3 linked regions of the Coturnix japonica genome follow. The protein of the gene in region 1 interacts with the protein of each later gene in a pairwise test. Links are inferred from orthologs where the notes say so. Each region holds a gene or a part of one and is shown in the gene's direction. Other genes may lie near its edges. The genes, in order: ARL15, UNC119 and PDE6D.

What was found.
Region 2: the proteins of ARL15 (region 1) and UNC119 interact in binary tests that used the Homo sapiens proteins (3 or more experiments, as listed by UniProt). The link is inferred for Coturnix japonica from reciprocal best matches to the Homo sapiens genes ARL15 and UNC119.
Region 3: the proteins of ARL15 (region 1) and PDE6D interact in binary tests that used the Homo sapiens proteins (3 or more experiments, as listed by UniProt). The link is inferred for Coturnix japonica from reciprocal best matches to the Homo sapiens genes ARL15 and PDE6D.

The regions. Positions count from the first base shown.
Region 1 is NC_029547.1:17,911,192-17,914,808, reverse strand, and holds part of ARL15 (ADP-ribosylation factor-like protein 15), read left to right. Parts: intron 1-2,713; coding exon 2,714-2,922; intron 2,923-3,617.
Region 2 is NC_029534.1:4,518,036-4,522,161, reverse strand, and holds the start of UNC119 (protein unc-119 homolog A), read left to right. Parts: upstream 1-1,296; 5' UTR 1,297-1,352; coding exon 1,353-1,470; intron 1,471-4,126. UniProt on the Homo sapiens protein: Involved in synaptic functions in photoreceptor cells, the signal transduction in immune cells as a Src family kinase activator, endosome recycling, the uptake of bacteria and endocytosis, protein trafficking in sensory neurons and as lipid-binding chaperone with specificity for a diverse subset of myristoylated proteins.
Region 3 is NC_029524.1:13,401,794-13,406,204, reverse strand, and holds the start of PDE6D (retinal rod rhodopsin-sensitive cGMP 3',5'-cyclic phosphodiesterase subunit delta), read left to right. Parts: upstream 1-1,568; 5' UTR 1,569-1,685; coding exon 1,686-1,735; intron 1,736-3,297; exon of another isoform or gene 3,298-4,411. Other genes in the region: COPS7B (COP9 signalosome complex subunit 7b), read right to left, coding at 650-1,030. UniProt on the Homo sapiens protein: Promotes the release of prenylated target proteins from cellular membranes. Modulates the activity of prenylated or palmitoylated Ras family members by regulating their subcellular location.

The DNA.
Region 1 (3,617 bases):
AAATTCAGACAGGGATTGAGCAGTAGTGATCTTTTCATTGCTCAGGGGAGATGTTCTTTTTTTTTTACAATTAGCTCTTTGCAGTGTGAATGGACTATCTCTTATCTTACTTGAACCAAATAGGAGATGTGAGCATGTGCTTATCCTGCTATACAGAGCTTTGGGGGTTAGTTTTTGTTGAATAGAATTTTTGTGAAAAATCGAAACTTCTTGGTATGCTAAAAAGGCTCTTTCTCCTAATGGATATGAAACTCTGCTTTGTTAAGGCTGAACTGGTGGAGGGAAGTTTAGCATCCTAGTTTATCATCATAAACCATACTTACACTTTATTAAACAACTCTCATTTCCAGAAGTTTCGATTTTTTGATTCAAGCCAGAAATAGCTTTGATCCTTTCAAAGACTAAAGCTGATTCAAACTTCTGTGAGCTAGTCAGCAGAAGGACTAGACAGACAGAAATAACACAGCTGTGGTAGACTTACTGTGTTCTTTATATGCCTGCTGTAGAGACAGACGCATAAAGAGCTTTCCGTTGGAGATCATGGGTGCTGTAGCTGAAGGTGACTCAGCTTAGATAAGCTGGTAGCAGTATTCAGCCTGGGAAGCTGCTTTGCTGTTTCTGCAATCTGAACTTCTATGGTATCTCCATAGGGTAGTGGAGGGAGGGTGGAGATGGAATAATAGGAAGAGAGGAAACCACTCAATGATTCCCTCTCCTAGAAGACAATGTATTTGTGTTTCTAGAGAAAGAGCGAAGAAGAAACGAGTGAGTTTCAGAACAGCTGTCAGACATAAAATGCAGTCCACTGTGGTTCTGCCTACTACAATTTATCAAAACTTCAGATATGGAATTGAATAAATATTAGCATGTGATATATGGCATGTATTTTCTGACTGTCCTTTTAAAATAATCTGTAAAATCTCATGACTAGAGACAGAGATTATTTTAAATCACGTGTTTTACTTTAAGATGATAGTATAATACACATAATATACACACCTAAGTGGATCAAACTCACTTTTCACAGACATATATAAATTTCCATGAACTTCACTTTAGTAGAAGCTTTCATGCACAGACTCATCTACCTTGAAACAAGAGCTCTGTGACATTTGTTGTGCTATTGATGGAGACTTGCTGGAAGTTTGACAGCTAACAAATGTGAGACCTTTGAGTTCCTTTTTGTTGTTTGTTTTTTATGATGCTGTGTTCTGTTTTTCTGAAAGTACTGAAAAGGAGGAAAATAAAGATAGCTTCATGCAGCTATCGATGAAGCACAGTATTCACAATGTTTATTAGCCACCTAAATTGTGCTGAGCACAAAATACAGAGCCTGGCTGCTTGAGGTTCCAGTGTCATGAATACAGAGAAGGGAGTAACTCTGTGGAGTGAGATTTGAATACTCTACGTTGGATACTTAAAGGATATGGTGTGAATTCCTTCTGAAATAAGTTTTCACCTTTTTCTAGTAGCTCTTTTCAGTTGTACAAATTAAAGGAATATTTTAAGTATCATAGCAGTGTTATAGTAGTTATTTTACATTACCTTATCGTTCCGTGACTACATGTTGGTCAGAATATCTGTGGCAGTTGTTTTATTTCCCCAAAAAATAAAGTTTTCTTATCAGCACTTGATATCTGTGTCTAAACTGAAGTTCACTTTTTCCTATAGTTATGTAAGATTTGTGGTGTTTGCGAAGGATACCTTCAGCACATCTCTACAAATCACAGTCTTGCAAACATGTCAAGCTTTCTCCTAGGGTACTGCTGCTGATGTTCACTTTTTAATGCTAGACCCCATGAGTCTAGTGCCAGATTCAGACACACAAAGAGTAGCCTGTGTCCAAATTTAATTTAGATAGTTTGACAGCTGTCAAATATCTTGTTTCCCTACCTTAGCATTACAACATATGCTGTTCTCCAGGGTACACAAAAGCTTTCTAGATATAACCTTATTGCTTGGCTTCTGTTGAGTTGACTGAGTGCTGCTGAACTGTGCCCTAAGACTTACTGTCACACATAAGCCTGTAGTCATTCACCGTGTGTACTGTGGGGCTGGCTTTTCCAGAATCTGCAGTGTGGCTGACAGAGCAAAATAGTTGAAATGAATACTGTTGAAAATTACCACCTTATCACTCGCTATTCAAGTCACAAGTGTATTAACTTCCTTATCATTATACATGTAATTGTAATTTTAATAGGCTTTCCTGACACCTTTTTTCCTTGATTACAAGGTATTTGAACATTTGGAGGTGTGAAATGAAAGACTTTATCATACTTAATAGCGAACAACTGACAAGAAGGAAACTGCAGTTTACAGCTATAGGGCTAAGGTAGAATGGATGGAAAAAGGCCATCTTCTTCATGTGTTTATATCAGGATATTTCAGTGAGAAAGTATGGGATTAGCCGAGATTAGGTGGGATTAGTGTAGTAATTCTACTAGTGCTTATTTACAGAGCAGACACTTTCAGGGCCTTTAGTCACTTTTGTTCCGTATTTAAATGATGTTAGTTTGTGTGCGTTTGTGTGTGCGTGTGTGTGTGCGCCAGCTTCATGGATTCTTTTTCCCTTGTTCTTTCAATGATGTATATTTATGAGAAAAAAAAAGTTGATTGCTTTGATTGTTACAAATTGAAGCATTATTTTCAATTACAAGTTTTAAAGGTGTTCAATTATATTTGTTCTAATTAGTTATTATTGTTGTTTTAAAAGGTGCTGACAATATCAGGAAATACTGGAGTCGTTACTACCAAGGATCCCAAGGGGTAATATTTGTATTAGACAGTGCCTCCTCTGAAGACGATCTAGAAACTGCTAGGAATGAACTACATTCAGCTCTCCAGCACCCACAGTTATGTACTTTGCCGTTTTTAATACTGGCCAATCATCAAGACAAACCAGCAGCACGCTCTGTACAAGAGGTACGTTATCGTGACATTACCTGGCCTGTTTGTTTTTACTGTCTGCACACTGCTGACCCGTTATTATTTACTACCCTGATGTCCTAGTTAAGGACTGGTTTCAGTCATCCTTCTCTCTCCCTGCTACTAAGGATTTATTCCAGTGCATTATCAACAAGAAGTACTAGGATACAAACAGAATTCTCCTGCATTTTCTTTGTGATTTGCTTCAGGGTATAAAAAAATTTAAACTACTCTTCTCAAAAGCTGCTATGACAGTATTTTATGGGTGTTTTGTTGTTTGTTTTGCGTGTTGGTATTTATTTGCTATTAGTTTTAGTCTGTCCCATCACTCCATTCTTTGAAATTGCTTAAACCAATAGGTTGTTGGCTGTCGTGAGGAGCCTTTTACATAAAAGCTTTTTACCTTAACTTTTATAAACTGGTGTGAGGGCATAGTTGCAGTTCTTTTTCTGAAGTTCTTAACCTGTTCTGATTTTCTTCTTTTTAGAAGTAATATTTTTCTCTTGTATCCCCCATCTGGTAAATCATGTATCTTTTCTATTCAGTGTACTATTTGCTTTTACGTTTCTGAAAGAAGTCTTCATTGATACTTTCCAATGAAGTCACTTATCATTGAGGAAATGCAGAAAGTTGTTTATTCATCATAAGAGCCTCTATTTCTGAAGTTACAAGAAGAAATTCAGTTGTGTCAT
Region 2 (4,126 bases), on another chromosome or scaffold:
TCCCAGGTTATTATTTGGGATCTCTCGGGAGGAGCTGCCCCCTGAATTCCTGGTGGAGAGCCCAGGGAATGAAGGAGTGGCCGATTGGGAGCTGGACCGCCTGCTTTGGGCCCATACATTGGAGAATATTGCCACTGTGTCCACCACCTTGACCTCACTGGCGCAGCTGCTGGACCAGATCAGTAACATCGTCATCAAAGACGACGTCGCCTCCGAGGTACGACTGGTACAGCCTGATGTGGGGAGTGGAGGGGTCAGGAGCTGCTGGCCCCATGCAGAGCAGTGGGGCACTGCCCAGGAACGAGGCCCCTTAGCTTTGCTTCTCTGGTGCTTCCTGGTTGAGGACTGACTGCTGTGCTGTTCCCATGCAGGTATACCGAGCGGTGGCTGCAGTGCAGGATGCCGTGGCAGAGCTGGCTGAAGGCCGCCTGCATTCAGCTTTCCAGGCCAGCAAGGAAGCTGTCACCTGCTCGGAGCGGGCGTTCTTTGACCCTTCTCTTCTCCATCTTCTTTACTTCCCGGATGATCAGAAATTTGCCATCTATATCCCTCTTTTCCTGCCCATGGCTGTCCCAATCCTCCTCTCCCTGGGTAAGATGCTCCGAGAAGCCAGGCAGAGCAAGAAGGAGCCCACCAAGATGGACTGAGCCCATATACGGTGCCTTGCCTTGGGGCTGGGACCTCATAGAGTGCATTGCATCACGGTGCAGGCAGGTGCTCACAGAGTCTTGCACCCTCCACTCAGAACTGCTGCTTTACCCCCCTCTTTATTGAGACTTGAGGGGAGGGAGGGTGACCTGCATGCACCCCACAGCCCCGTGCTGTGTTCATGTGTAAATAAAGAGCTGCCCTGCCCAATCCTGCCCTGTTGTGCTGTGGGGGCTGTGTGAATCTCTCCCACTCTCTGGGCTTTGGCCACCTCTTGCTTTGGACTGAGTCCCGTCTTAAAGGTACGTAGCCCATATAGCACCAAGTGGGGGTGGGGAAGGGGGTTGGTGGGGTTCAGCTGTTGGTGGGCAGTTATGAATGGGGTCTGTGAGCGTTGGTTTAGAGACACATTACTGGGGTCGAGCTTTTCCCTTTGGCACATTAACAGGGGAGCTCTCGTATTGGGGGAGCCCTTTTGGGGTCGTACGGGGGAAACAAGCACGTTCATCCCGATGCTGTCGGGATGCGATGAGGGGCTTTGGGAGCGATGCCGGGCGGTGCTGCCGGCGGCGCTGGGCTGTACCGTGCGGGGGGCGGGCCGTGCAGGGGGCGGCGCTGCCCCTCCCGGTGCGGCGGGGCCGGCAGCGCTGAGCGGGGCCGCTCATAGCGGAGGTAGAGGAGGAGGAGGAGGAGGCGGAGGGGCCATGAAGGTGAAGAAGAGCGGCGGGGCCGGGGGGGCGGCAGCGCGGACCGAGGAGGAGCTGGGACGGAAAGCGCTTATCGGGCCCGACGACGTGCTGGGGCTGCAGCGGGTCACCAGCGGTACGGGGCCGGGGGGGGGCACCGCGGTGATGTCGGGTGAGGGATGGGGCGGCAATTTGGGTGGGATGGGACACCCAGCTTGGGGAGGGGGTGCTTCCATTGCGGAGTGGGACCCCCACTGCAAGCCGGGCTGGACGTGGGATGCTGCTCATTGTGCCCGTCCTATGGGTGGGCCAGGCTGAACCCCACAGCTGCGGGGGGAAGAGAGGGATGGAGGGGTTCGGGATGGGGTCACAGATCCAATGGGAGGAGTGTTGTAACCATCCTGCAGCCTTCCCAATAGGTTTCCCCTTTTCCACCCCTATAGTATTGCTGCGGTCTTGAGAGCATCCTGTGGGGCTGGAGGGGCTGTTGTGCTCTGCTGGGATTGCAGCGTGCTGGGCTGGGAGATGGCACATGCTCCAGGCCAACCTGGCTGTGGTAGTGTCCTCCTATCCACCCCCCAAAGAGCCTTTCTATACCCCCGTGTGTGTTGTGTCTCTGCAGGGGAGGAGGGGGCAATGATGGGTGGCTGTGCTTGGAGCAGGAGCGATGCTGCAGGCAGGGCTGTGCCATGAGAAGCCCCAGAAAGAAGGGATGCGGTTGTGGGTATTGGGGGCTGAGCAGCACAGGGATGGGTGAAAGGAAGGAGGGGAGGAAGCCCTGCAGATAGTGCTGGTCTGGGGGGTCTGTTGTGTCTCTGTTTCCCTGCTGAGATGCTGGGCTGTGACTCACTGCCCAGGCCCAGCAATCAGAGCAGCAGGCACTGGAGCGTGCTGCCAGCGCGCTTGGAAGAGCAGCAGTTGGATGGTGAGTCCCAGCGATGGCTGCGCTCAGTGCTTTGCTTCTTGGGAGCCCACGTGGCCCTGCATGCAGCTGTGCCCTCTTTGGGGGGCTGCAGGCACGTGGCCACCCCCTGCCCTTGCTCATGGGGCACGCAGACCTCATGTGGATTCAACTCTGGGCATCCTGGCCTTGTTGCTGCTATTTGCTCTTGTGTGCAGGAAGGCTGAGCTGATCGCCCCATGGGCAGCAGAGCTGCTCTCCTGCCTCTTCTTGCACTCAGGCAGTGTCTTACTCTGCTTCTGCTCAAGCTTACGGTGGAGGTGTGAAGTTGTGATCCAAAGGGACCTGTGTGCCATCCTATCTCTGGTGTATAGGTCCCTGTAGGTTTGTATGGAAGCCCAGATACAACTCCTTCCTCATTCTTTCTCCTCGCAGCTTGGTGTGTACAGCATGCAGCCTTGGTGCCCGTAGTTAGGGCAGTGTCTGGGGTGGAGCCTTTGCCTGGCTGGAATTTGGAGGGAGGATATATGGGGTAGAGGGCATGGGGAATGCAATGCTCCTTGGACCATGAGAAAGATCAGCACGTAATTCCTCCTTTTAACATCAGGAGAATAAGAGGAGCTGGCAAGGACTTTGTGGTATCATGGTCATGTATGGCTTTTATAGGGTGTTACAGTGGTGATATGTGTTGGGATGCACTAAAAGGACCATCAGAGGTTGTTGGATGGAGAGACACGGGGTTAAAACTTCTCCCACTCTTCCACTTTTCCCTTCTTAGTAAAGCTCTCCTCTTAAAACTACTTGAATGAACTCTTCCCATTGCAAACCTTAGTGCCTGTACCACCAAGTCATCCCAACTTATGACCACAGCCCTTTGTATCCCTCTGACCCCTGTTTTGATGCCCAGATCCAGGTGCTCCAGCCCACGTGAAGCTGACACAGGAGCTGATGGTTGGGAATTGCAGCAGTGCCACAAACATCCCTCCCAGTTCCAGATAACTCATTTTTATCCAAACTTCGAGGCCAATACCGCAGCAGCTCTCACTATTGAACCCATTCTACTGCTCATGGCTCTCCTCCTGATGTCTTTTTAATAAGCTTAAAGGGGGAGCGTGCAAGCAGTGCTGCGTATCTGTGCCGTGTCCTTCCAGTGTCACATCCTACATGATGCTAAGGTCAAACCTGATGGACCCAGGGGTGCTGCCCTGGTGCATGTGGGTCTTTTGTAGGGCTGGGTTTAGGTGTAAAGCAAAAGGCCCGTTTCCTTTGCAATTAGCAGGATTTGTTACTTGCTCATCCAACTGTGGTTACAAAAAGAGGAAAACCTTGTGACGCGATTAACTGGGGATTAGCAAAGGGAGCAGGGCAGAGCTCAGTTCAAATTGCAATTAATTACTGCAGCAGCAGGAGGATCAGAGCGGTGTGTCTGCAATTATTGGGGTGTGCATCTGCCGACGTCCTGCCTTGTGGGGCAGGGAGAGGAGCCGAGCACTGTCCCCGATACCTTCGACCAGGCTGAATGTTTGCTAGGTCACGCTGTGCTGCTCCCACGTTGCCTGCAGGCGAGGTTAATTCCAGCACAGCTTTGATTTCTTTGTCTGGCTTTGGGATGGGAGCCATGGGTGGTCAGCAGGAGGATGGCATAACAGCATTTGCAGTGCCGTCCCCTATTGCCACGTGACGATGCCAGTTGTCCAACTGATGCATAACCAAGGGCAAGCTTCAGGTTGAGAGCACAGCACTGGGCACCTGCACGGTTTGCCTGTGCTGCTGGGATAAGGCTTATCTTAAGTTTTACTATTCTAGGTTTCATCCTAAGGGCTCCTTTTGATGCCAGCAAACCGAGAGGTTGGATAAATGATTGATGACATACTTGGAAACACTTACAAAA
Region 3 (4,411 bases), on another chromosome or scaffold:
ACCATCTCTCACTTCACGCAGACCATGAGAAAGACACATCTGGATGGTGGCACATATGCAGTTGTTTGACCCCTTCCATCAAGTGTCAGATGGGAGAAGACCTCAGCTTATGAGCCCGTCTCCCTGGGACACAAGCTCTTGTAGCAGTACCTTTGGAGAAGAGCATTGCAATGTGCTTTGGGGAGGCAGAAAGGAGGCTGGAGGTGTCTCCTCACCTGCAGTGACAGCTCAGAGACTGTGATGCCTGCCAGAGGTGTAAAAGCAAAGGTGAGGTTTTTAGAACAAAATGGTTCAAGGGAATAGTGAGACTTGCTGCAATTTTCTTGCAAGAGAAAGTATTTTGAGAGGAAAGAACTCAAGGTTTCTGTCACTCTGAATCACAGAATATCCTAAACTAGAAGAGACCCATAAAAACCACTGAACCCAACTCCTGGTTCCACATAGAACCACTCAGATCATGTGTTTGACAGCACTGCGCGGGTGCTTTTTGAACTCCAGCACCCAACCAACCTCTAATTGAAGAACCTATTCATGATATCCAACCTGAACCTCCTGAGTTACACTGTCCCACCACACGCTTCTTCCCTAGTTTTAGGAGGGGAAATGGGTGGTTTTTGAAGCTGAGACGCAGAGGCTGCCAAGCACGTACCTCCTCACACAGCGTGGAGAGTTTGGGCACCCATGTCAGAACCACAAAGGCCCCAACACCGACATCAGGGCACACTCTCGTGTCAGGAGCCCTTCGCTGCCGTTGCTCGCTGCGAGAGCCGCTTCTGTCTGGCTGCCACCTCCCTGTAGCCCTAAGCGGGGCGGTTCGGAGCCCCCTGTGCTGTGGGTAGAGCAGCATGCTGTACTTCTGCCCCGCAGGCTTCTCCCTCACACACAACCGCTCGCTCTGGCCTTCTCCAGCTCTGCTGCTGCCTGCGCTCTCCCTGTCTCCCTGCCAGCTTTTCTTCGGGAGCGTTCTCTGCCCTTCTCTGGACGCACTGGGTAACGCCGGGCTATCCAGAACACAACAAGGCTGCTCCATGTCAGCTAACGGGGCGGTCAGCGCTGCCCACCGCCAGCCTTAATGGCACTCATAGGCTGTGCCGTTAATGGCACTCATAGGCTGTGCCGTTAATGGCACTCATAGGCTGTGCCCTCGTATGTTCGACGCCTCGCGGTTCTCTCTCCTCAGCGTGGCAGTGCTGTTGAGGAGCTCTGTGGCAGTGTACGCGGAGCCCCCAGTTGTCGTCCCGCACGCAGACTGTTATAAGCCGTGTTAACGTATTAACGAACGGCCGGCACCGGACACGCGTCCCCAATGGGGCCGGGCGAGGTTTGTCCCGCGCCGCCTCCCGTCCCCGCCGACGTCACTCAGCCCCGGCCGGGCCCAGCGCCTTAACAAGCTGCGCAGCCGCCCTTATATCAACGGAGGGGGAGGACGCGCCGTCCGATTGGTCCATCCCGCTGTCCTTCATCAACCAGCAGGGGCGTCGGCGGCTCGCGATTGGTTGTCCCGTCGGGGCGGGGAGAGCGGCCGCTGGGATTGGCTGCCTCGGCCGGTGGCGGGTGCGAGGGAGTGCGAGGGGGCGGGGCGGGGGGTCGTGAGGCGCCGCTGTCAGCGCCGCTCCCGGCCAGGCCCCGCGCAGCCAGGACAGCCCGCTCAGCCCGCCCAGCCCGCGGCGCGGCGCGGCAGGACCATGTCGGCCACGGACGAGCGGGCCAAGGAGATCCTGAGGGGCTTCAAGCTGTATCCTCACCGAGGGGGAGCGAGGGGGGGGCGGGCGGGGCTGGGGGAAAAGGGGGGGGGTGGCTGGGTACCGGGGTTTCCCTGTGTGAGGGCGGTTGTCATGGCAGCTCTGCCACACACGGGGCTGTTGTGTCGCGTCCCCCTCTCGGCCTCGCGTTGCGGGTCCGTCCCTCTGGGCGCTGGGCCGGGGGCAGCGCGGGGCTCCGAGCGGGCACTGCTGCGTCGTGCCGGGCCCTGAGGCGTCAGCGCTGCCCGAGTCCGGTTGTTAACGCGTCTGTCTGCGGTACGCGATGAAAGTTTGCGCCTTGTCGCTTGGCGTGCTGGGCGAGCACCAGTTTAACGCCGGTGCAGTGAAGCAGAAGTGGGAGCGGAGGGTCCTGAGTGCGGCCTTGCAACCTTGGGGATGGGGGGGGGGAATGACGGCTCAGCGCATAGGTCTGTGTGTGTGTAAGGGTGGGAGATGTGTACAGCTGATTTTACCGTAGCAGATTCTACTGCGCATAGTGGGCAGGTGCCAGCTTGGCCTTAAGGGGCAAGAAAACCAGTGGCTGTATTTTTTTTCCCCCCATAATGGAAAGGACAGAACCAAAGTGAATGAAAGGACAGAACCAAAGCGAATGAAAGGACAGAACCAAAGCGAATGAAAGGACAGAACCAAAGCGAATGAAAGGACAGAACCAAAGTGAATACCCCTCTTGCTCCAATGCTGTTATTCCTGAGCATATTTTTGGCCAGCGAGGTGCTGCTAATCTCTGTGCCAGCTGCAGCAGAATCTGAGTTACTCAGTTGGATTCAGCTGCTATCAAACTATTGGCAGATGCTTTGCTGAACTTATGAATCACTGTCCCCTCCCCCCCAGCTTTTAGTTCTGCAGCTGGTTCCTTTGCTTCTGCACTGGTAATATTGACAGTTCTTTTTGTTTGTGGAGCTGTAAGATTTTGGCTGTCAAAACACAATTTAAGCGTGTTTTGTGCGAGTAATTAGGAAAAGCATAAGCTCCTGACAAGATGAGACTGAGCTTTTGGTAGAGATGAGAAGGGTTGGAGAGTTAAACTTAAGGTACAGACTTTCACGTGTTTGTTTCTACTGGTTTGTGCACGTGCTTTGCCAGAAGCAGAATCTGAATGAAGGTCTGTGTCCAGCTATGGATGAAAAATCACTTCCATTGTTTGGTAACTTAAATAGAAAATGTTTCTTGACCTGGTGTTAAAGGTAAACCTCAATAGCTCAGATTGGAAAATCAGGAAAGTATTTATCGATGTATTGCATAGATGGGATTTCTTGAGTTGAGATAGTTGAATAATATGCAAGTATTAGAAGGAAAGTGACAGAGCAGGCATTCCTCATTTATGAGAGAAAGCCCTGAGACACCACAGCATCCACACAGGAAGCAGTTCGTGCCCAGATGTGGCCTCATTCTCTGTAAGGCAGCCACCAGCTCAGGCTTCCTTTTTTTGACAGTGTGTATTCTAAAACAGTACATTTGAAAGAGATGCTTTATCTTCTGCTCCCTGTGCTGAAGTATGTGTTAACTTGGTGCCCTCAATAAGAAAGGAAGAGAGAAACATCCTCCGGGAAGCTCTCAGGTTTATATTTGGAGTACTTGAACTTCTTCCTCCTCCCAAGAAGGAAGGAGCACACCCTGCAAACTTGCTGTTAGCACCAGAAGCCATCACAGCAGTACTTTAGGTATGGCATAAAAAGAAATAAGTATATCCAAGGTAGGTTTATTTGGTAGAGGGCATCACTGAGGAATCAGTTTTCTCACTTGAATGCAAGAACACACACTTTGGAAATGGAGTTTGCATTGAGTACTGGAGCACCCTCAACTAAAGTCTGTTCATTTGTGGTTTCTGAGAAGAGACTAACTACAGGCTTTCAAGCTGATTGGGACATGCTGCTGTGCACATTAAATTACAGCCTAAATCCACCCTCTGACTTAGCACCAAGATATGCTTCCCTTCCTTTATGACACTAGCACAGAAGCATGTTGTGGCTAGCGTCAAATTCAGACCAGGGTATTTTACTCCCTCTTCCCATAGACTTTGTTACTTAAGAAGATGAAAACCGAAAGGAGAAATATTTGATACTTGCAGACAAAAGAGGTTTCCCACTTTATTACACTAGGATTTTTTTATGGCACCAGTAAACTAAACACCAACAGCGTAGTTAATGTGTTACGATAAGAGATGGAAAGCAACCATCAAGATCTTCTATAGCTTGTCACTTCCTAAGAGACAGTACTTGTTATCAGACCTCTCAGGTACATTCATCAACTCACTGTTCTAAGGATGCTGCTTAAAATACAGCATCTTGGTGGTCTGGCACTCTGAGAATACATTCTAGTTGCTTGTCCATAAGTAATACCAGTTCAGTTAGCTAATATTCCAAAGGAAAGCATCAGTAATTACTGAGCTTCATTTCCACAAGCTTTTATACACAGCTGGTCCTGTAATCTCAAGTGCATTCGGTCTGACTCTGCTCTGTGCTCTGTCACTCCCTCTGTAGCTTCCTCCTGAACTGGGGCAGTTTCTCCATCAAACTGCAGAGTGGTGTTTTAATTGATCTCTAACCAGCAAGGAGAAAGGAGTTCAGCAAAGCCAGCTGACTCTTGTAGCATGGTTAAGGTACTAAGTAAACATACCCATTTTCTATTTTAAAACTTACAATTCAGGC